5 linked regions of the Tribolium castaneum genome follow. The main gene of each other region encodes a partner of the protein of the gene in region 3 in a complex. Links are inferred from orthologs where the notes say so. Each region holds a gene or a part of one and is shown on either strand. Other genes may lie near its edges. The genes, in order: Nup54, Mgtor, Nup107, PCID2 and Nup75.

The links.
Region 1: Nup107 (region 3) and Nup54 share a complex: the UniProt entries of both Drosophila melanogaster proteins name them as parts of the nuclear pore complex. The link is inferred for Tribolium castaneum from reciprocal best matches to the Drosophila melanogaster genes Nup107 and Nup54.
Region 2: Nup107 (region 3) and Mgtor share a complex: the UniProt entries of both Drosophila melanogaster proteins name them as parts of the nuclear pore complex. The link is inferred for Tribolium castaneum from reciprocal best matches to the Drosophila melanogaster genes Nup107 and Mgtor.
Region 4: Nup107 (region 3) and PCID2 share a complex: the UniProt entries of both Drosophila melanogaster proteins name them as parts of the nuclear pore complex. The link is inferred for Tribolium castaneum from reciprocal best matches to the Drosophila melanogaster genes Nup107 and PCID2.
Region 5: Nup107 (region 3) and Nup75 share a complex: the UniProt entries of both Drosophila melanogaster proteins name them as parts of the nuclear pore complex. The link is inferred for Tribolium castaneum from reciprocal best matches to the Drosophila melanogaster genes Nup107 and Nup75.

The regions. Positions count from the first base shown.
Region 1 is NC_087397.1:2,066,870-2,071,100, reverse strand, and holds the start of Nup54 (probable nucleoporin Nup54), read left to right. Parts: upstream 1-1,376; 5' UTR 1,377-1,476; coding exon 1,477-1,534; intron 1,535-1,990; exon of another isoform or gene 1,991-2,666; intron 2,667-2,716; exon of another isoform or gene 2,717-3,460; coding exon 3,461-4,201; intron 4,202-4,231. Other genes in the region: sra (protein sarah), read right to left, coding at 270-742, 788-980. UniProt on the Drosophila melanogaster protein: Component of the nuclear pore complex (NPC), a complex required for the trafficking across the nuclear envelope. Essential for the nuclear import of nuclear localization signal (NLS)-containing proteins in an importin alpha/importin beta-dependent manner.
Region 2 is NC_087394.1:8,232,457-8,236,038, reverse strand, and holds part of Mgtor (nucleoprotein TPR), read right to left. Parts: intron 2,443-3,582; coding exon 2,035-2,442; intron 1,978-2,034; coding exon 1,791-1,977; intron 1-1,790. UniProt on the Drosophila melanogaster protein: Component of the nuclear pore complex (NPC), a complex required for the trafficking across the nuclear envelope. Functions as a scaffolding element in the nuclear phase of the NPC.
Region 3 is NC_087395.1:26,510,030-26,514,149, reverse strand, and holds the start of Nup107 (nuclear pore complex protein Nup107), read right to left. Parts: upstream 2,849-4,120; 5' UTR 2,759-2,848; coding exon 1,895-2,758; intron 1,845-1,894; coding exon 1,683-1,844; intron 1,443-1,682; coding exon 982-1,442; intron 706-981; coding exon 1-705. UniProt on the Drosophila melanogaster protein: Plays a role in nuclear pore complex (NPC) assembly and maintenance. Required for nuclear import of Mad. Mediates the association between the nuclear pore complex and a subset of active chromatin regions adjacent to lamin-associated domains.
Region 4 is NC_087397.1:8,459,980-8,463,565, forward strand, and holds PCID2 (PCI domain-containing protein 2), read right to left. Parts: upstream 2,028-3,586; 5' UTR 1,873-2,027; intron 1,807-1,872; 5' UTR 1,795-1,806; coding exon 598-1,794; 3' UTR 509-597; downstream 1-508. UniProt on the Drosophila melanogaster protein: Required for the export of nuclear mRNAs and involved in mRNA trafficking in the cytoplasm.
Region 5 is NC_087399.1:876,553-880,934, reverse strand, and holds Nup75 (nuclear pore complex protein Nup85), read right to left. Parts: upstream 2,856-4,382; 5' UTR 2,747-2,855; coding exon 2,723-2,746; exon of another isoform or gene 2,678-2,722; coding exon 2,236-2,677; exon of another isoform or gene 2,016-2,235; coding exon 1,762-2,015; exon of another isoform or gene 1,716-1,761; coding exon 1,593-1,715; exon of another isoform or gene 1,539-1,592; coding exon 1,320-1,538; exon of another isoform or gene 1,187-1,319; coding exon 1,071-1,186; exon of another isoform or gene 1,021-1,070; coding exon 484-1,020; exon of another isoform or gene 431-483; coding exon 226-430; 3' UTR 176-225; downstream 1-175. Other genes in the region: oxidized purine nucleoside triphosphate hydrolase, read left to right, coding at 1-170; uncharacterized protein LOC660898, read right to left, coding at 2,858-2,945, 2,991-3,427, 3,477-3,720, 3,941-4,305; mRpS23 (small ribosomal subunit protein mS23), read right to left, coding at 4,336-4,382. UniProt on the Drosophila melanogaster protein: Component of the nuclear pore complex (NPC) that seems to be required for NPC assembly and maintenance. Required for nuclear import of phosphorylated Mad via importin msk.

The sequences.
Region 1 (4,231 bases), on a different chromosome or scaffold from region 3:
TTACAGATTCCTGTTTGAAGTTGCCAGCTGATGGCATTAAACTCAGGGCCAACCTGTCTCAAATTCCCGCTGAGTACTTTAGGAAATTATCTTTTATTAGCAACACCTTTATTATCACATTGAGTTAAATTAATGATACAGTTACAACCAACAAATGAATCACGTAATTCCATAATAAATGAGTGACAGATTCTACATAGAGAGAAATTGACATATTGAGAGGCTCTGAAGCTCACACTTAAAATAACCTTGAAGACCTGTACAAATCATTAACTCCGTTCCGGACACGACGTCTGTGGCATCCTGCCTTTGGCCCCCACGCCGTCCGCCCCCAGGGCCGTGTGCACCACGATGCTGGGCTGGCCGGGGGAGGGGGGGTGCACCTCGTGCGACGCCCCCGGCGTGAGGGTGGCCAAAGCTGCAAGAAGGTCATGATTGATAATGGGCTCACCTTCCGGCCGGGGCTCCCAGTCGAGGGGGGGCGACGCCGGCGGCGAGATTAGGAACTGCTTGAAGGGGGCTGGCGGCTGCAGGCTGGGGTTTTTGACGGGGGTGACGGGTTGAGCAAAGTAACACGTAATCACTGAGTCGTTGATTTTGTATTGGTGGAGCTGAATGCGGGCGCTGGCGGCTGCCACGGGCGTCTGGAAGTTCACTCTCAGTCTTCGGAAACTGCGCAGCCACTGGAATGTCACGTCCGGGTCGAAGTTCCGGAACAGGTTCTCCATTTCGCGCTTTTTCTCTGCAATTTTACGGTCAGATCGGGTGAGGGCTGGGGGCGGATTACCGGGCGAGGTGAAGACACTGTCGTGGATGTTGGTGACGATGAGGGACGTCGGCAGGTCCTCGAACTCGTCGTCGGTCACATGCTCGGGGCTGTCGATGTCGGCCTCCGCCAGCAGGTTGGGGTGCACGTTGGGAAGGCCGTCTTGGTCGTTAATGATGATATCGTCGTCCATTTCGCCGTTGCTTTCAGCCATTGAAAAATTGGATTAAATTCACCGACACAGGATCTACCGCGGTTTAAACCCCATAAAACAATGCGCACTTTTTCGGCTAAACTAATCAAGGCTAACTCTTACGCTACTAAATTTTAACACAAAAACATTGCAATATCAAAGTGCAAAAAACACAACCCAACAATTGCAAATGCCAAATGTCAGGAATGAATGACACTTGACAAGGGGATGAAAGCCGAAAGTTCGCCAGCCCGAATTGAAATACAAAGGAATGAGCTTAAAAAAACGTAAAACCCTGAAATGGATAGATTTCCAGATAATTAACATAAACACATGAGCGACTTTTTGATTTCGTATTTTTTTGTACAGAAAACGCTGAAATTTTGTGAAATTGCCGGTGTATAACCTAGGTTTGAAGTTTGACAGTTCTGTCAATTCGTTAAGTTCAATTTGTGAATACATAAAAAATTGTAATTACTATTTTTATATAAATACTAACGTTAAATTTAATGCAGTTATGGCATTTTCGTTCGGAAATGCAAACCAGTCGACTTTTGGAAGCCCGGCAAATAAACGTAAGTTTTAGAACCGTAAGAAAGTTAGGTTAAGTTCTTTCTATTTTGTTATTTGGTATTCACGGTTTTATTTATTTTCCCTTTAAACCGTAATTAATGAGATTTAATTTTGCCCAAAACGCCTGACTAATGTTTGTGTTCTTAATTTTTAACCAGAAAAAATCGAAAAAGTGGCAGCGTTTTGTACCATTCAGACTCAACAATACAAATCACCACACTTTTTACAGATAAAATGTTAATTGGTGTTTTAAATGGTTATAAAATTTAATTGTGATGATTGTTAACGTGTGAGTAACAATTCAACAATTTTTGTTTGAAACAAATCGCTAAAAAATGTTTTGTTTAGTGTTTAACTTAAATTTTTTGTCACGTCTGTGCTGCACAGTACACAAAAGTAATTTCATTACTTAACTGATAAAACATGAAAAACTGGACGTGTTCAATAAAAAACCTAGATTATAATTTATAAACCAAGAATTTATTTCGGCAATAACATTTTGAGGATATAAATAAACCTACCTAAGCGAGTAACAAAAATATAATGATAGTAAAATATAACAGATTATCACAAATATAATTAATACGATTTCATTCTTCCGTTTGAGATGGTAACTTGGCTCAAATCGGTTGCACAATCAAGCGATCCTGAACGGCTGGCTTTATATCGCTTATAAACGACGATAAGAATGACGATAATTAAGAGCAGACTGACGATTATAACTCCCAAAACAACGTACAAAGTTTTTCCCTCAACGTCGTATCCTTCGTAATATATTTGGTTCGAAACATCCGTAGTTGAAGAAAATACGTCAAGTGGGGTTGAAGTTGTATTTTGTGTACTGTTTTTTATTTCGGCCACTGCTGAAGTGATGTTGTTTTCAAAAATACCGATTGTTTCGGTCGTACTGTCGGTCACTTCGGTTATCACGGTGGTAATCGTTGTTGTAATATTTTGAGAAATCTCAGGAGTGGTAGCAGTTTCTGCAGTAACCGTACTGTTGGTTATTTCGCTGATGAGGGTAGTAGCTGGGGGAGTGAAACTCTGCCCAATTTTGAGTACGTTTTGATCGTCTGTGACTTGAAGGGTCGTTCCAAAACTTTTAGTAGCCCCTTTGATAGGAAATGAGAATAGCTAGAATCGGAATTTTTAAATCCAACTTGAAAAATAAAAATTAAACTCACCGTAGGGCCCGACATTGTGCTTTTTATTAGCGAAGGAAAAACACTTAACTCTGCAAGAACTTATCGGCGACTGAAAGTTTCTTTCCACGCTTTGAATTTTTATCGCTGGTGTTTATATGTGCGAACACGGTTTTCCTGCTTTCCTTCCATTCGCAGTAAAATAACAACCCGGGGATGAGTCACAAAATGCTGTTTAATGCAATTTCTTGTGGTTGGGATAAATAAAATCCGTCATTTTGTGATAACAAATTGGGAAAGCGGCACTGCAGTCGAAAAAAACTTGTTTTGAAATTATCTACGTGTTTAAATTCTTTTTAAAAAATTTGACTGGAATGACACTTGAAGGATTGAAATAATTTCATTTATTTCGTGTTTATTTCGTTTTTGCATAAATTTAAGTCTTAACAACAGCGTATTTTTTGCACGATAAGTATTCGCATAGTTCAAGTTTGACTTGCATTTTTTACCGAGGAGTAGTTTCCGTTTGGTCATTTCCCCGTAACAAATACTTTTTTCATGGAAATTCTTTTCTTTTCGTTGAAACAACCCAAATAGAAAAATAAATAATTTCAGGATTGTGGTTTCGTAGCCATTTCCTTTGGAAAACTACAAATTTCGCTGAATTTATTCAATTTATTCGATTTTTCCTGAATTAAAACGCACACTTCTTATCGTCTTAGATTATTTATTAATTTTTGTAAACACCTAGTCATAGTTTTATGTTTTTCCAATGTTTATCCACAGCCACCGCATTCGGTACCCCATTTGGGGTAACCACCACCACGGCTAGTACCGGCTTCGGCAGTTTCGGCTCTTCCTTCGGAGCCACTTCGCAGCCGTCGACCGGTTTCGGCTCAACTTTCGGAGCCCCAGCTCAATCTTCAGGTTTCGGTAGTACTTTCGGTACTCCTGCAACTTCCACTCCAGCATTTGGTTCGACTTTCGGAGCCCCAGCATCAACCTCAGCCCCGACATTCGGTACCGGCTTCGGTCAATCGACCGGCGGCGGCCTTTTCGGTACTTCCACAACCAAACCAACCCTTTTCGGAACTCCCACCACTTCAACCTCGTTATTTTCGACCCCTAGTTCGGCCCCCAGTTTATTCGGGAGCGGTACCACCACACAAGCCCCAAGTCTTTTCGGGGGGGTCACCACCTCGACTCCTAGTTTATTCGGAGCTGGCAGTACCCCAGCTCCGAGTTTGTTCGGTACTGCGACAACTTCGGCCCCGAGTTTATTCGGGACTTCGTTCGGGGGCACGGCCACCACTTCGGGGGGGCTGTTTGGGGGGAGTACAACAGGGGGAGGGTTTGGTTTATTCGGGGGTACTACTACGACGAGTGCGCCGTCGTTGTTTGGGGGGTTTGGGGCTACGCAAACAACAGGGGGGTTTGGGGGTTTTGGGACTAGTGGAGGGTTCGGTCAACAGACACAAGGGAGTTTGTTTGGGGGCGGGTTTGGGGCCAAGCCGGCACAACCTCCAGGTAAGTACCCGACTAGCAATTACAGGAACC
Region 2 (3,582 bases), on a different chromosome or scaffold from region 3:
AACACTTCAAAACTGTTTTAATAGTTCTAGTACGTCAGTTATCAATAGTAATCTATGTTATTGCCTAAAAGGCAATGTGTGTAAATTTTAGAACCCAAAGAATTACTTCAATTTAAATGATTAGCCTCTCCTACTTTAAATCCAAAATCCAATGTCGGAAAATACATTAAATATAAACTGAATCGTGTATTTTGAAAGAAAGTTTACATTACTAAAATTATTTTAAAAATGTCGGTATCAGGTTGCATTATTTCTGGAGTGGCTGATTTATTAAATGATATTGTTGAACATAAAAGCAGTAGTTAACTAAACACACGTCCACTGAGCTGATTTTTCAACTCAACGTAACTCTTTTAACTGTATATATAATTTCAAAAACTTTTTCATAAATTTGAATTCTTTCAAGGGACTGTTTTAAATTTATTGGATTGTAGTTTATCCAATTTTCAACGTTACCACTATAATGTGTGATGTGTCATGTAGATGGTTGCTCAGGATAAAAAAGATTTTTTTTTATTGAAATTACGGATATCAATCCTAAGGTTGAAATCATAAGTTGGTGTTTTTTTCTTTTTGTAGCAAAAAATTTCTTTTAATAAACCTGACTCAAAGTTAGCATATTTAAAGCAAATTTACTCTCTTAATACCCAACAGAATTTCAAGCATTATACAAGAAATTAAAGGTTTTTTAATACTACAAGCCCATGCGTTCCCATATTTTGAAAAAACGTAAACATCTTAAAAAAAGAAAAATGCATAAATGTTGACCTTAAAAAACTATTCAGTTATTTTTAAAGTAATCGGTTTTGGTTTTTGCAGGATAATTCAAAAGCATAGTTGATATGCGTTGAAAGAAATTTGCTTTATCAGAGATATTGAAGAAAAAGTCGCGTTTTTATCAGTAAATTTAACAATTCCGTTTTAGAATTTTGGTAATTGCTTTAAAAAAATGCGTAAATTTTGATCTTGAAAGGAACTTTACTCAGTTTTTTTTTAAAGTAAGCAGTCTAGGTTTTTGCAAGATAATTCAAAAGCATATTTATATGCGTTGAAAATTTTTTAATTTGTTATTGAAGTACTGTAATTGATGTAGAAGTCGCATTATTTATCAGTAAACTTAAAAATTCGTTTTGGGTTTTTGATATTTATTACAAAATATTAATTTTCAACTAATTTAACAAAACACTGTTGTTTTTAACTTAAAATCTCCCAAAGTTCATTGCGTTGCTCGTGTCGTTTCTGGGGAGAGTCTTTTGATCGCCATCTGTCTTTTTTTTCGGTTATTTTAGAAAACAAGTGGTAAAAACATTTAAGCGAGAAAAACATTTTTTTAGTTCGGAGATTTTTTTAATTTGTTCACCTAACCAATATTTTAAAATAACTGCTTTGTAGATATTTTGACCCTAGAAGTTTCGTTGAAAAATTAGGATTATATTTTGTCCATATTTAGATATTATTATTATTATTACTTAATTTTTTTAGAACATCCAACTTCTTCTGGAGTTTTATTTCTTGGTGTCGCTGGGTATTTGATTTTCACAAATCTTAAAATCCGATCTGGCCAATTTGACTTTATTATAGTTACTTTAATCTTGTGTTTATTAACATTTTTAAAAAAAAGTTACGTAAAATGAATTTTTCACAAAATTTGTAAACTTAAAAAAATGTTTTACTGGGATGAAGAGTATTTTATCGGTCACCAAATAAATAAATTTGGCATGTTAATGTTTATTAACATTAAGCAGAACCGGTGCAGTTAGGCCCAAAATATTTAATTTTTTTAAACGTACCGTCAGTGCCACTACTTGTAGCTTCGGGCTGCGCTGGTTCAACGCTTTCCTCTTGAGACGCTTCCTCCTGCAATGATCTTTCGCTCTGATTCGGCACCTCGCTCGAATCTTCAATAACCTCCACTTCATTCCCGCCTTCTTCATCTTCAACGTCTTGACAATCGGCGTCTTCGTAGTTATCTTGTTCCTTAAAGTTTAAGGACAAGGTAAAATCACTGCTCTCTTCACCCGCCTCATCACATACCATTACTTCCAAATCATAGCCTTCCGTATCAGGATCGTCCGGCTCATCGTCTGCACCTTCACCTTCATCAGCACCACCTTCTTCGTCACTTTCAACAACTATCACGTTATCGTCGTCATGATCTCGCTGACTGCTTGTTGGAACTTGATATTCTACCTCTAGACCGCTATCGCTTACAGTTCCAGCTTGTTGAACTCTAGTTCTTTTACTTTGTTGTTGGGTTTTTGTTTGTTCGTCACCAGTATCAGTGTCTGGATCTCTTTGGCGTTTTAGGCCGGCTTGGGTTGTTGTGACTGTGTTTGAACTGCTACTGCTGCTGGTTCCTTGTTCTTGGGTAGGTCCACTACTTGGGGGTTCTACCCTTGGCAGGACTAAAGCAACAGCTTGTTGTTGGGGCGCAGACTGCAACTAAACAATTACCAACATGTAAATAGGACATAATTTAAACTAATTTCAACAAGAGAACTGCAAAAATTCAAATACTCACATACAATTTTTCAAAAAAAAGATTAATTTTAAGTCGCCTTTTCTGGTCTGTTCTTACGTAAAACATTAAAAAAAACAAAAAACAGAAATGCTAGGGAATGCAGTTAGAGTCGATTTATTAGTTTCGATGAAACAACTAATAAATAATAAATAATACATAACATCTTCGAATCTGTATTTGATAATTCGAACAGTGAACATAGTTCTCTGTAAAATAGCTCCATATATCTACATGGAGGGGCAGTAAAGATGACAAAATCAATTTCAATCTGCTGTTTTTAATTCACCGTTAAATCTAATAGTTTTTAAAATCTTTCGCTACATCAGTTGTAAACCAAAAACTGTACAGCGTGCAAACAAATTTAAACTGTGACGTTATCACAGCTAAAGTAACTCTTTACGTCAGTCATATTTTTTAAAACATTCTTAGTGCTTTCTTTCTTCCTTTGTTTTTTTTTTCTGACCAAATAGGACTTCTTTTAGCAACAAACTTTTACACTTTATAAGTGTCTGTAAAGTAAAATTTTTCTGTTTCACAAAAAAAAAAATTAAAAACATCGTATTTCTTTTCTTTAATTTTGTTAAATATGTAATAACTGTTTAAAAAAAACTGAAATTATTTGAGATAATTTACATGATTTTTCAGGTTCAACTCAGAAACATATTTAAAATCTTGCAACAAGAAGGGAAAATTCCTTTTTCAACCAAATTTTGTAATTTTTCAGATTATTTTTGACGAAATCTCACTCAAAAATAAATAAAATCATTTCAAAATAAATAAGTTTCATATTCAAAAACGTCTAATGTGACTGACAAAAAAATTAATATTAAATTCGATCAATTTTGGCGCTTTTTCAGCATGCTTTAGTGAAATTCCTCGAGAGAAAAACTTAGTATGTTAACCAATCAAAAAAAGCAAAAATACTGTATCTTTCGACTTAATTTGGTGAATTTAAAATTGAAACTCGACAACAGATTATTATTTTGTTGTAGTTTTTCGGCTTAATTTGATCAAATTTCGCACATAAACGAGATAGTTCAAGAGAAACTAACCAAAAGTTC
Region 3 (4,120 bases):
GGAAACAAAAGGACATTATATAATAAAGTTTTGGCCCTTTTTGCTGAATGCGATGTCGTCAATTTCCACCGTTCCGCTTCGGCATTAAACTGCGAGACTTTATGATTATGAGCAACTTTTTCAGTAAATTGTGCATTTTCGGGCAGTTCAGGTGGTGGCATCGGCTTATTCCTATACTGTCTAAACCACTCGTTAAACGCCTCATGTGCATCCAAATACGCTTTATAACTCAAATAATTCTTAACAATCTGATGAATCTGCTCTTCGCTGCGTATCTTCTCTATAGAATCGTAAGGAATTTTATTGATTGCCAATTGGGCTGCTTCTAATTTGCCCAAAATCAGAAATTTGAAAATAATAGAATTGGTTTGAGCCAATGCTTCGGCTCGTTGCTCCTCGTAAAACATCAGCCAATCAATAGCGGAGATTTTGAGTTCGTCGATTTCGGTGATTTTACCTTGGAGATTACCGGGAAGTTCGGATTCAGACGGTCGGCTTGTTATAATTTCGACGATTTGTTGCGTTATAGCAAATACGTCCAAACTGAAATCTTCAGCGTAAGTAAGGGCGTTTTTGCGTTGCTCAGTCGAAAGCAGTTTTTCGCAGTGTTTGGCGTAAAGTTGGATTTGTTTGGATTTTCCCAGCTTGCTCACGTAGAAGGCCACAAGCTGGGTTTCGTTCATTTCGCTCAAACGCTCGATATATCTAATTAAACAAATGATATTAAAACACAAGCAACGCAGCGGTGAGTAGCAAACACTTTATGTTTTTTTATAGAAGCTCGAAGTCAAATAAAACAAAAAATAATACCGTAGCTATAAAAAAGTGGTAAAAATATTAAAAGCAATAATTTAGTTCTGACGAGATTATGGTCAACATTAAGAACATAAAATACACTAGACACAAATTTTTTTATAGTCACCATACCGGGAGACTAAAGCGCCCGGCCTTAAGTCGAGTTATACAACCAAGAAAACTTACGTTTCGACGATTTTTTCACACGTTTTTCTATGAGTGGAGTCTCCGACGCTTTCAAAAAACAAAACTAAGTGAGCATAAAATCGAAGAGATTGTGTCGTAACACTTAGATCTTCACTCCACTGATCTAGGAGGCGTATCAGTGTGGGAATTTCGTCTAAAATGACAAGTTTCTGAATTACATGATCAATTTCATGCGCTTCTTTTGCAATGTCAATATTTTTCGAGGCTTCCAAAATTGTAAAAATTTCACTTAATGATTTCTTTTGTTCCCAATATTCTTCAGGTAGTGGTATGTAGTTTTTAATGATTGAGTCGCGAATTTCCGATTCAACACGAATATCGACCATGGTTCGCATGTAGGCCCACAGGTGGTCCTCCCATGTGGTACAAACGGGCAAAATGCCCTCCAAGAAACCACAAAGACTACCAATGGCGGCTTTTTCATAAATGTTCAAGTTTGACTGAAATTTTTTAGTAGTTTTTTCAAATTTATAAAACAGCCTCCTTGATAGATACGAAACTTCGTCTTCAGTCCTAAATTTGGTTAATTATTTTCCAGAAATTTTAAATAAATAAACATAAAATAAATACATGTTTTACAACTGCCAAAGTGACATCGGTTTATCTAGTAACAATGGTATCAAAAAAAAAGATAGCGAAGTTCCCGAACTGTCAAAGAGGCTGTGGAACGAAAAACTTACCCTATGACAATAATCTAATGCGCAAGATTTCCACAAATCCCGCCTTTGGTTCCCTTCTACGTCTTTATACTCTTCAAGACTTGTTTCCAGGTTGGGATTATGAAAAAGCTTCCAGCCTTCTAACATCGCAGCGCGCCATGGATAACCACTGTTGTAACATAACTGAAATTTAATTATTGAATAAATAATAAAAGGCTGAAAACAGCACAAACTTCCTGGGCGCCCTCAAGGTTGCCGCACCTAATTTCCATAAAAATTCTCTGACATAGTTTTTTGTCATTGTCGTAATCCAAGTGGTGCAGCGATAAGCGCTGAAACTGTGGCGCATCTGGATGTATGTTCTTGATAATATCCACATTACTCCCAATTGCAATAGCATCAGGTGCTAGCAATTGATGCAAAGTGTGTTCCCATCCATACGTCCAGTCTGAGTGCATTAAAATGGGGTCCCCCTTCTCCAGAGCGTTCCTCTCGAGCCAATCGATCACCAACTGGCTTTCCCTAACCAAATTCTCTCGTTTGAACAGTTCGCACACACAGTTCTTTTCACTGCTCCCGAAATCCTCCTCAAACCCTTCCTTACTGTGGTTCTGGGCCTGGATCCGATCCTGGTACAGGACATACAGCAGTCTCCAATTATTCCGCTCATTTTCGAGCCATTTCTCTTCGGCTAATTCACTAGTGGCCACTTTGGCTTTCAGTGACTTAACCACCGCCAAAGCGTCACTACAACACCTCGCCAAGTCTTCGGCCACGTCCAGGATATCAAGGCCTCCGGTGGACCCCTGCAGGATATCCGCAAACTCTGTATATAAATTATTAACAGTGTTTTTCCATGGAGTTCCTGCTTGGATCACCGACCCGGTGACCGTTTTGTCATCATCGACAAATAAAGACAAGGTGTTTTGATAAACACTTCCATATTCCAGGCCGGTTAAGTCTTCGGGGTTTATTGTAAAGCTGAGGTTAGGTTTTTCACGCTTTGGAGTTGCGGTCGAGACCTTAAATAGCCCTTTTGTGGGGGTCTGGAGAGCGTCTTCGAGAAGACGCACCGACCGTTCCAAATCATTATCCATTTTTAATAAAAAACACACACAAAAAGCCGTTGCATAACCTCAAAAAACAAGTCTAGCGTTGCCTCAGAGCGTTGCAAAGTCCCTAGATTCAGGTTGGTAACAGTTTTTCTTTTCCTCGATCGTCATTTGTTTCAAATTATCGCGTCTGTTTGTGTTTATCGTGTTTTTTGTTCAAATTGAAGGAAAATTGGTGAAAAAAGTGTTGAATTACGTAACTTAATTAAGTTCAATTTATAAATTGTGGTAGGAAACACCGGTTTTTTTCAAAAATTTGTAAATCATGTGTGAATACTGAATTTGGAAAAATGATGTTACTTAGTGTTAAGTGTAATTTTTACATAATTTGGTGATTCCAGTGACAAAGTAAGGTAAGGTGCATGTTTTTTTAACAAAATTTAACATTATAGCACATTATTGGTACTATTTTCGGAAATTCAGTGAATTTGGTTGGCAACACTTTTTCCATTATCGCGTCTCTCGTGTGTGCCCGGATCTTTTTTGTCTACATTTATGAAAAATTTGTGAAAAAGTTACCTTAATTACGTTTTTTTTATAAATTGTGGAAAAAAAACACCAGTTTTTCCCCGGATATTCCTAAATTCAGTTACTGTGACAATCAGGATTTGGAAGAATGAAGTGTTAAGTGTTAGTTTAGAAGTTCAGTGTTAATTTGGAAGTTTCAAGCACAAAGTAAGGTAACTTGCATGTTTTTCAACAAAATATTAGATTATTGCACATTATTGTGGGCATTATTTTTGGAAATTGGTGAAAAAGCAAGTTTTCTTGAAAACTTGTAAAAAACATCACTTTCCAAATATTTGTCAATTCATTTGTGGTTAGGAAAAGTACATTTTAAGCACAAAGTGAGGTAAATTGTACGCTTTTCAACAAAAATTAGATTACTGCACATTAGTGGTATGTATTTGTATTTTCGGAAATTCATTGACTTAAGATTCTGGAAATATTGGGCGACTTTTCAGTACTTGGAGCGTTTTTTTTTGTCAATAACTTCGGTTGTAGGCATTTAAAGGAGGCAAAAATCCACAAAATTTTTTTTATTTATATTATATTTTCGTTGGTAGCTTAAACTCTTTGAACAAACACTACGCTTATTATTAATTAAATATTATTGTACTAAAATGTTGTAATAAATACTCGTTGTTAGCACTAGTCTAAGCTTACAAAAGAAAATAAATATTTCAACACGTACGCGTATCAAGTTGTACAATCTTATTCAATAATAACAATGTAATAAGGTATAAAAATAGTTAAGTAGTCTTTGCATAATTCAACAATCGAACACTTGTATCTTATCAGCTAGAGATCACAGATGTTGCCAAATAAAAGGCACTAAAAACACGA
Region 4 (3,586 bases), on a different chromosome or scaffold from region 3:
ATAATTTATAATAAAAAACTAAATAGTTTTTGACTATGATAAAATTTCCATATAAAATGTATGAGTTTAATTTTCGGGTAACAAAGTTACCTATGGGAAAATAAATCCTTTTGTGCAAAATTTCGCAATATGTAATATAATATTTACAGTACATTTAAAGGATGTATTCGGTATTAACTTCGTATCTATTATGTAAAGCTTAAACGAATATTTTTTACCTATATGGGCATAATCATTAGGTGATTTAATATGCATTATTGATTTTCAAAACGATTCGTATCGAGATTAAATCTGAGCAATTTAAAAAAAAACAACTGTAGTTGTGACCTCTTCGAATAACAAAAGCAATTTTTAATAAAATAAAAATTCCATAAACATTTTTAATGCGGTTTTTATTATGCATACAACATTTAGCTTTTTTCTTATGACAGCAGGGTCGCTTAGTCACTTCGCAGTATAGAGATTTATAGACGTTACGTTTATGCTTTAATAAAACACAAAAAACGGGTAGTTTTAACAGTTTATTTCATATGCAATTACAAAATAGTTACAATGCAGGTAGAGAACGACGAATTATACAAACTTATAAAAACTTAATTATGATAGACTTGTAAGTGGCGGAAATGGATTCTGTTTACTAACAACAACCTTCCTATGTTGATGCGAAATGTATCCTTTAATTTTCCCTTCATAAATAAGATTAGCAACAATACATTCTGTTTCATCCAAATCAACATCAGTCTGTCCTAAATACACTAAAGCAGTCTGCAGTGCTTCAATAGGGATTTGATGCGTATTTAGAATCAAATACACCTTTTTAAACAAATTTCTATATGCTATGATTTTCAGTTTATCAACAATCAGATATATTCCACACTTGATGAAAAAGGTTTCGTGCTTTTCCATAATCTCGTCAAACGCTTTGAGATTACCCTGACATACAGCTTGTACTAAATCCCACAACTGGATGACGTCATACTTCTCCAGAACCTCCTTGCTTGGGATATACCCCAACAACATTTTCACAGGAACTAAGTAAATCAATATAAGCGTTTTGTTCTTCTTACTGAGCTTGTGACAATTTTCAAAAGCATAAGTTAAATACTCATCGGCGACTTTATAATCGCTATCAAACATAGCCTTGCGCCCCACAAAATACCGATATGTGATTTGTTGGCTCAGAGAAAAACTCTCTTTAAACGGTGATGACTCAATCGCTCTGATTAAGGGCTTGCACAAATGTAGCTTATTTATCCGAAAATAAACCTTAAACAATTGATTCACCAAAGCCAACATCCCTATCCTCTTTGTATCCTCCTCTGCTGACCTATTATCAGCAGCACACACCCTGAAACAACCCATCAAGCATTCTGCTGCCTTCTCGAGCATTTCGCCGGGCTTCTCATTAATTCCGCTCCTCTGATTCTCGGCTAATTGCGCCAAAAGACGCAAGTCTAAGCACAAGACATACATAATAGGCAAAGACCAATTCTCCTCCTTTTGCGATTGCAAGATCTTAGTGAAAGTTTGCGTCAAATTGCTCTGAATGTTATAAGCCGATAGATAGTCACTCTGGCTTATGGCAAACAGGCATTTTAGGTGCAAAATCACTAATTCGTCGATAGGGGCGGTCAAAAAACGCTCAACTATTCCCTCAGGACTCTCAATGTGGTAATTGGCATAACCTGCATGTTCGTGGCGAAGAGACAGAAAACTGGCCACTTTTGCACCGTCCTGAGACCGCCAATACCTTTCCACAAGTTGTAGGTAATGAGCAACGGACATAAAAGTCATTTTGCTGAAAAACTAAGGTTAGGGGCGTCAGTTAACCGAAACCGCTTCATTTATAAATGAAATTGAACTGTTACTCACGTGATTTAGGCACAAGTGTTATATTTGTTGCTTCCGTTACGCAAAGAACATTATGTCTTACGAGTTTGACGAAAAAATGTTTGAATAAGCTTGAAAATAAACAAGTCTTTGCAATGGTGATAAAATGGCCGATAGGGAGCGGTGCGATTCATACAAGTAAAATCAATAATAATTTCTGTGACCTAACAAAATTTAAGATATTTGAGCTTAATTCGTGTTATATGTCCCATAGTACTAATAATAGGGATTAAATTAATGCAAATCCTGGAAGTAAAATGCCATAAAAACGAAAACTGTTCGTAGACCAGTTCGCAAGCCGCATGTTTTCTTCCCACACAGAGATGGCGCTCCGAGGAACAGCTTGATGCAACTTGACCGGGAACTTATCCAACTTGATTTTATTAAAAAATTTTTAGGAAATTATAAACACAGTCGTGAAAACGTTTTATTATTCTAGTCAAGGATAAATCATAATTTAAAAATCCATTACACAGGAAAGTAATAACTTCAACAATAATGAATTTAAAGCGCCTAGTAATGGAATTTATGGAAAGAAATTATTTACTTCTTTGCTATTTTAAACTTTAATAATGCTTCACGTGCCAGACCCATAAATCAGTATAATAAGCAATTTAAACGTTAATTGTAGTTTACTTTTAGCTCCTTATGAAACAAAAAAATTAAGTACTGTTTATTAGAAACTAAAGCTACACATTACGAACTTAAAAGTATTTGTTTGTATAGTGCTACTTAAAAAACAAAACCATATTTTACAAAAAAAAACTTATAAGTATAAGTAGGTAGACGACGTTTAAATTACAAACAAGTTATGTTTTAAATGATGACCGTACAAAAGCATATAAAAGGTTTTTATGTTCATCTATAAAATTTAAAAACAAATTTTACAGGGTGTCCCAGCAAAAGTATATTTTTACTGCATGACAAGCTAAATAATTACACAGAATTCCAAATTTGCTTTAAATACTTTTAGTATGCCTTATTATGTACCATAAAAAGTTATTTTTTCTATATCTACATTTTATAATTTTAAAATAAAACAATATAAAAAAGCAATATTCTATATCTTGAATGTCTGTGTGATTAATGATTATGATAGTTTGAGAAATGCAACGTAATTATTAACAACTTAAAAAAGAATCAAAAATAAAGAACTATTTAACAGAATTGACACGTTTACTGAAATATGATTCTGATGTAATTTTTTTAGCTGAATTTAAATCCGAAAGTTTTTTTTTTGATTTGGAATAGCCTTCACTGTAAAAAAGACGTTTATGTAAAAAAATTCAAAAATTAATATAAAGCAAATTTGTGTTCACATCTTCATTTCCTCATATTTTTCTTCTGAGTAAAGCTAGAAACTTGAAAATATTTTTAGGCGAACAGAGGGCTCACATCCATATCTAAATTCTGTAAATATTTTATGTAAATATTTTTCCATTTAATGTTCAATAGTAGTGCACTTAATCAACTCGTATTGCATTAAGTTGGTTTGGACTAGTTGATTTCGTTCCGTTTATAAACTATGAAAAATCGAGCCTTCTTTAGATGATTCAGAGCACAATAAAAATCAATTTGTTGAAGTCTGATAAGAATTTGCACTAGACATGCAGTCTGGAGCAGTCCAACACGATAGAAATTTAAACAAACTGGGTCAATCAGTTCGCATCCTTGTAGTCGTAACTTCATTTTATTC
Region 5 (4,382 bases), on a different chromosome or scaffold from region 3:
CCGCTATTCCCTATGCGAAAATGTGGCCTGATTCGCCCCAATGGTACCCCCTTATGTTAAAAGAGAAATTTTTTGCGGCCAGAGTGACTTACAGTGACCCTGACACAATCACTGATACGAAAATTGAGGAATTTGAGGACTTGGCGAGTGCACTTAAAGTGGCCAATTAAAAGTATTATTGTTTACGTAAAGTATTTATTTAATAAAAAATTGTTAAAAAAATCATCATTTTAATTGGGCTTCGTGTACCAAAGCTCGTGCTAAATTCCGGGTCGCTGACAGTCTCAAGATCGGAAGTTTGTCTTTCAAGTCTTTGGTTTTTTCCTGCTCTTCCAAACACTGCATAATGATGTAGGTATCAGTTGAGGAAAAAACCATTTTTTCGCACTCAAGTAGCGGTATTGCGTCAGTTAATAGAATACTCCAGAAACTACAAGATAATCTTTAGATAAAAAACCGCAATTTTAAGTGTTTTCCCCTTACAAGTTTGGTATTATTTTCGACTCAAGTAACGAAACGAGCAAATTGGCGGCTTCTTTGTACTCGTTCGCTTGATATAACTTCTGGAATTCGTAATATTTGCCTAAAAACATCAACCTATCGCTTGCCAAAATACACGATCCGAGATTATCCAAAAGATCAATACTGTTCAAATCGCCACTTTCGGCATACTCTCGCAGAAATTTGTTCGATAAAAACGACACAAAAGTGCCGTCTTGTGATTTGAGGGCCCAGGCGAGGGCGTGTCCCAGACGCCCCCGGTTTTTACAAGCCATTCCTTGCACTTTACAAATACTTTGTGCCGTTTCGGTTAAATTCCGGTTCAGAGCCTCTCTCACAATTTTCTCAGCCCGCATTTCGGAATTTAGAGGCAGTCTTGCAAGTAGTAATTTTGTGACTTCAGGGCCATCGCTGGGACAGTGGTCCAAGTAGCTTAAACCGACCTGCCATAGTGACTTATGGCCCATTAAAAGCGAGCCATAATCGATTAAAAATGACTCGCGCAATTTATCAGGGTGGCTGAAATAATAATTGTAAAATAAACGGTTTAAAAAAAATCGGGGACTCACAAATTTTCAATAGTTTCGATAGTTGTGTCGCTTAGACGGCCTGAATGGTAAAGTAGGTCGGTTAAGTGGCTCACAAACCAGCCACTGTCTGTCATATTTTGGATTTCTTTAATCACCTGGCAAAGAAATGTTAGAATTTATGTGTACATTTGCAAAAAAGTGTAAAACTAAAAGTATAGCCGAAAAATACAGGATTATTCAAAAGTCTCAGTTTTATTTAATAACTTAACAGAGGTGGCGCCATATTACCTGTAAAATATCAAACTCCATTGCTGCCAACAACATCCTATCCAAATGCTTAATTCTATTCCCTATGGACATTTTCGTGATACACTGTTTGGCAAACTGTCCCAACTCAAACGATTTAACAGTAGGTTGGGTAAAAAATAACCACGCGGCTAACATTTCATACCACGTCTCGCAATACTGCTGTATTTCCCCCCATGCAATTTCGTTACCAACCGTAAGCTACAAAAAATCTTATAAAGAAAACTACCAACTCAAACACACTTAAAACAAAACCTTCATAATCAAATTGAGATTATAACAAGAAATAAACATTTTCGCATCAATTTTCGATTGAACATCCACGACCCAATGATTCCATTGTAGATTAAATTCAGCGATTGAAGTCCCACTAAACATCTAAAGTCGGCCATGAACACCTGTCAATTTCTCCCAGCCTACTTACGTTATAAACCGGCATTGCTCTCAGACACTGATCCACAATTCTGAAAGGTTGTGACTCAGCTTCTGAGTGTAATTTAAGTAGGGCCCTAACGACCTTGACCCGCCCTTGTAATAGTGACCCAATGACAGTTTCCCAATAGTCAGGGTGTGACTCCAAACCACCCAAATCCCCAGCCAACATACTTGCCGCATTTCGGTCATATTTCGGAAAATGAAACCGAATCCAGTCCAGTAAGTGGGGCAAAACAATGTTGCCTAAAACCCCAACTGTTTGGCAAAAATCCCCAAATTTTGTGTCACTACAGAGGTCTATAACTTAGGAGGAAACGATGTACGAAATTACCGGATTTTCTGAACCTAAAAAAGTCCGGAATTTTTTTTAAATATAGTTAACGATAAAACTACCGAGTTCAGGACGTTTTATTTGTACGTCGTTTCGCATCCTAGCTTTTAGATATCCGTGTCACTAACCCACCTGGGACCGCATCAACAAATAAGATTTCACACAAGTGCCAAATACACTCAACTGAGTAAAAAATCGTAATGTAATTTTGCAATTCTTCGCGATAATCGCCATCGGCTCGCATCACCTCGTCTTGCAAATTCTCCAAACAGGCCCTTATTATGGACCTGTACTGCCGGCTAAGTTTCAATAATTCGGCCTTGTGGTCGCCCTCAGTGGCTACAAGGGCTTGAAGGGTTAGAAACGTCCCGTTGGCCTCATTTACCAATTTGCGTAAAATTGGTTTGAAGAGAATAATGTCGGGGCGCAGCTGAAACACAGAGGCGTCCGAGGGGGCAAAGTGACTCGGTTTATCAACTTTTGGTGTTTTCTGGTGGCCGAAAACACCGAATTCGTTGACGGAAAGCCACGAAGCCGCCACTCCAGCACGTCGGCATAACTCATTTGGAATAACCTACAAGTTATTATGACCTAACCTCAAAAATTGATCGCTGCTTACGAAAGTTTTGGCGGTATTGTCCATTAATACGGGTCGGGAAGCGTTAAATAACACGAAATTTTGCGCCTTTTCATTCAAAAAAACCGTATTTTTTTCGAATTTTGTTTGAGGAGAGCGGTTAGCCGGGTCGGTAATTTAGAAATCTGTTCGGTTACTAGGGTTACTTTCGTTTTGGGTTGGTAGCGAGAACGGTAACGGTAGGGATTTAACTTCGCCGTCAATCCTGTGGGCGGGTATTTTGAATTTGTTATATTGGGGTGATACTCACGTTGAGGCCTTCTCCTGGTGCGAGTGTGACGTTGAGCGCGATTCTGTCGGTTTCTTGCGTACGAAAAATCGCATAATGAAGTCTTTTTCTTTGAGCGTTTGAGTGTCAATGCTCCTAATTTCTGCCTCTCTGGCTTCCTGCATGCGGGCTTGATCTGCGAGGAGCTTGTCAATTAGATCCTTAATTTGGCCTCTGGAATGTTCAATTCTGGAGGTCCACTGTTTCATTAAACGGTAGTTTTCCCTTGCTTTGTTGCTCCGATCGTTTACTTTCACACTAGTCATGTCCCGGAGCATCGTATGGCGAACACTTTGACTTTCGAAATATCGCACAATGTAATTTGAAAGGGTGCTTAAGTAAAGCATCAAGTGGTTTATGTTCTCGTCAGTGCTTACTTTATTTTTTATCAAATAATTGACAATAAACCAGTCCACTAACTGCAAGTCGTATTTTGCCAAAACAAGTTAGAGAATTATCGGGACTTACCCGAAATTCAGTCACTGTGATTCCCTTAAGTGCGTGGCTAACTGCAATTTGTTTGATTAAATCGAGCGCTTGTTCGATGCGTCTCTGTTTGAGATAAGTTAAAACCATTTCATGAACGTGAAGTAACGAGACGAAATGAGTGATCATTCGTCTTTGGATAGTATATGTGTCTGTTTGCTGATTCGGGTTCCGGGCACTTGCAGCCCCAAACTTTTCTACCACTTTATCAGGCATTTTCAATGTCCTGCCAAAAAATAGAAAATAACCCGGCGCATCCACCATTTTTCAAATTCAAATAAGTGTTTAAATACGTTCTGGAGTAAGCTAGTGTTGTAAAAAAAACATATGATACGTAAAATGAGTCGCTGAATTCACTGGAATAAACCGTTTTGTTCTACGAATTTTAGTTTTTGAGTTATGAATTTTTTGAATAGGCAAAAAAATTAAATTAAATAAAACAGTACCCTGCGTGGATGTCGCTAACAATTTGCCCCAAATGCCTCTTCAGAAGCGACAGCACTAACTGTGAGGTTCTGATGGTCAAGGGGGCCAAATGATCAGCTGTGAAAGTCTGAGACTTGATGTACATACTCTGCAGTTCGCCGTAATGAATCAATTCACTGTCACACTTCGACACCGAAGGCTTTTCAGACAAATGAAACGAGGGGGAAGTACATATCGAAGGATAGGTGATTGATGGTGGAATAGTTTCGATACTCCCGGTATAAAAAATATGGGAATAAGTGCTTTGTTCGCTACCTCGTGGACGACTCAATTTTTTACCCATTTTAATTTGACGTAAAATAAAACAAAGTGTCACAAAAAACATTTATTAAGACTAGATTTTAACAAAAAAATACTACGATTTAAATATATCAACAACATTGATTTTTAATTTGGCCTTTT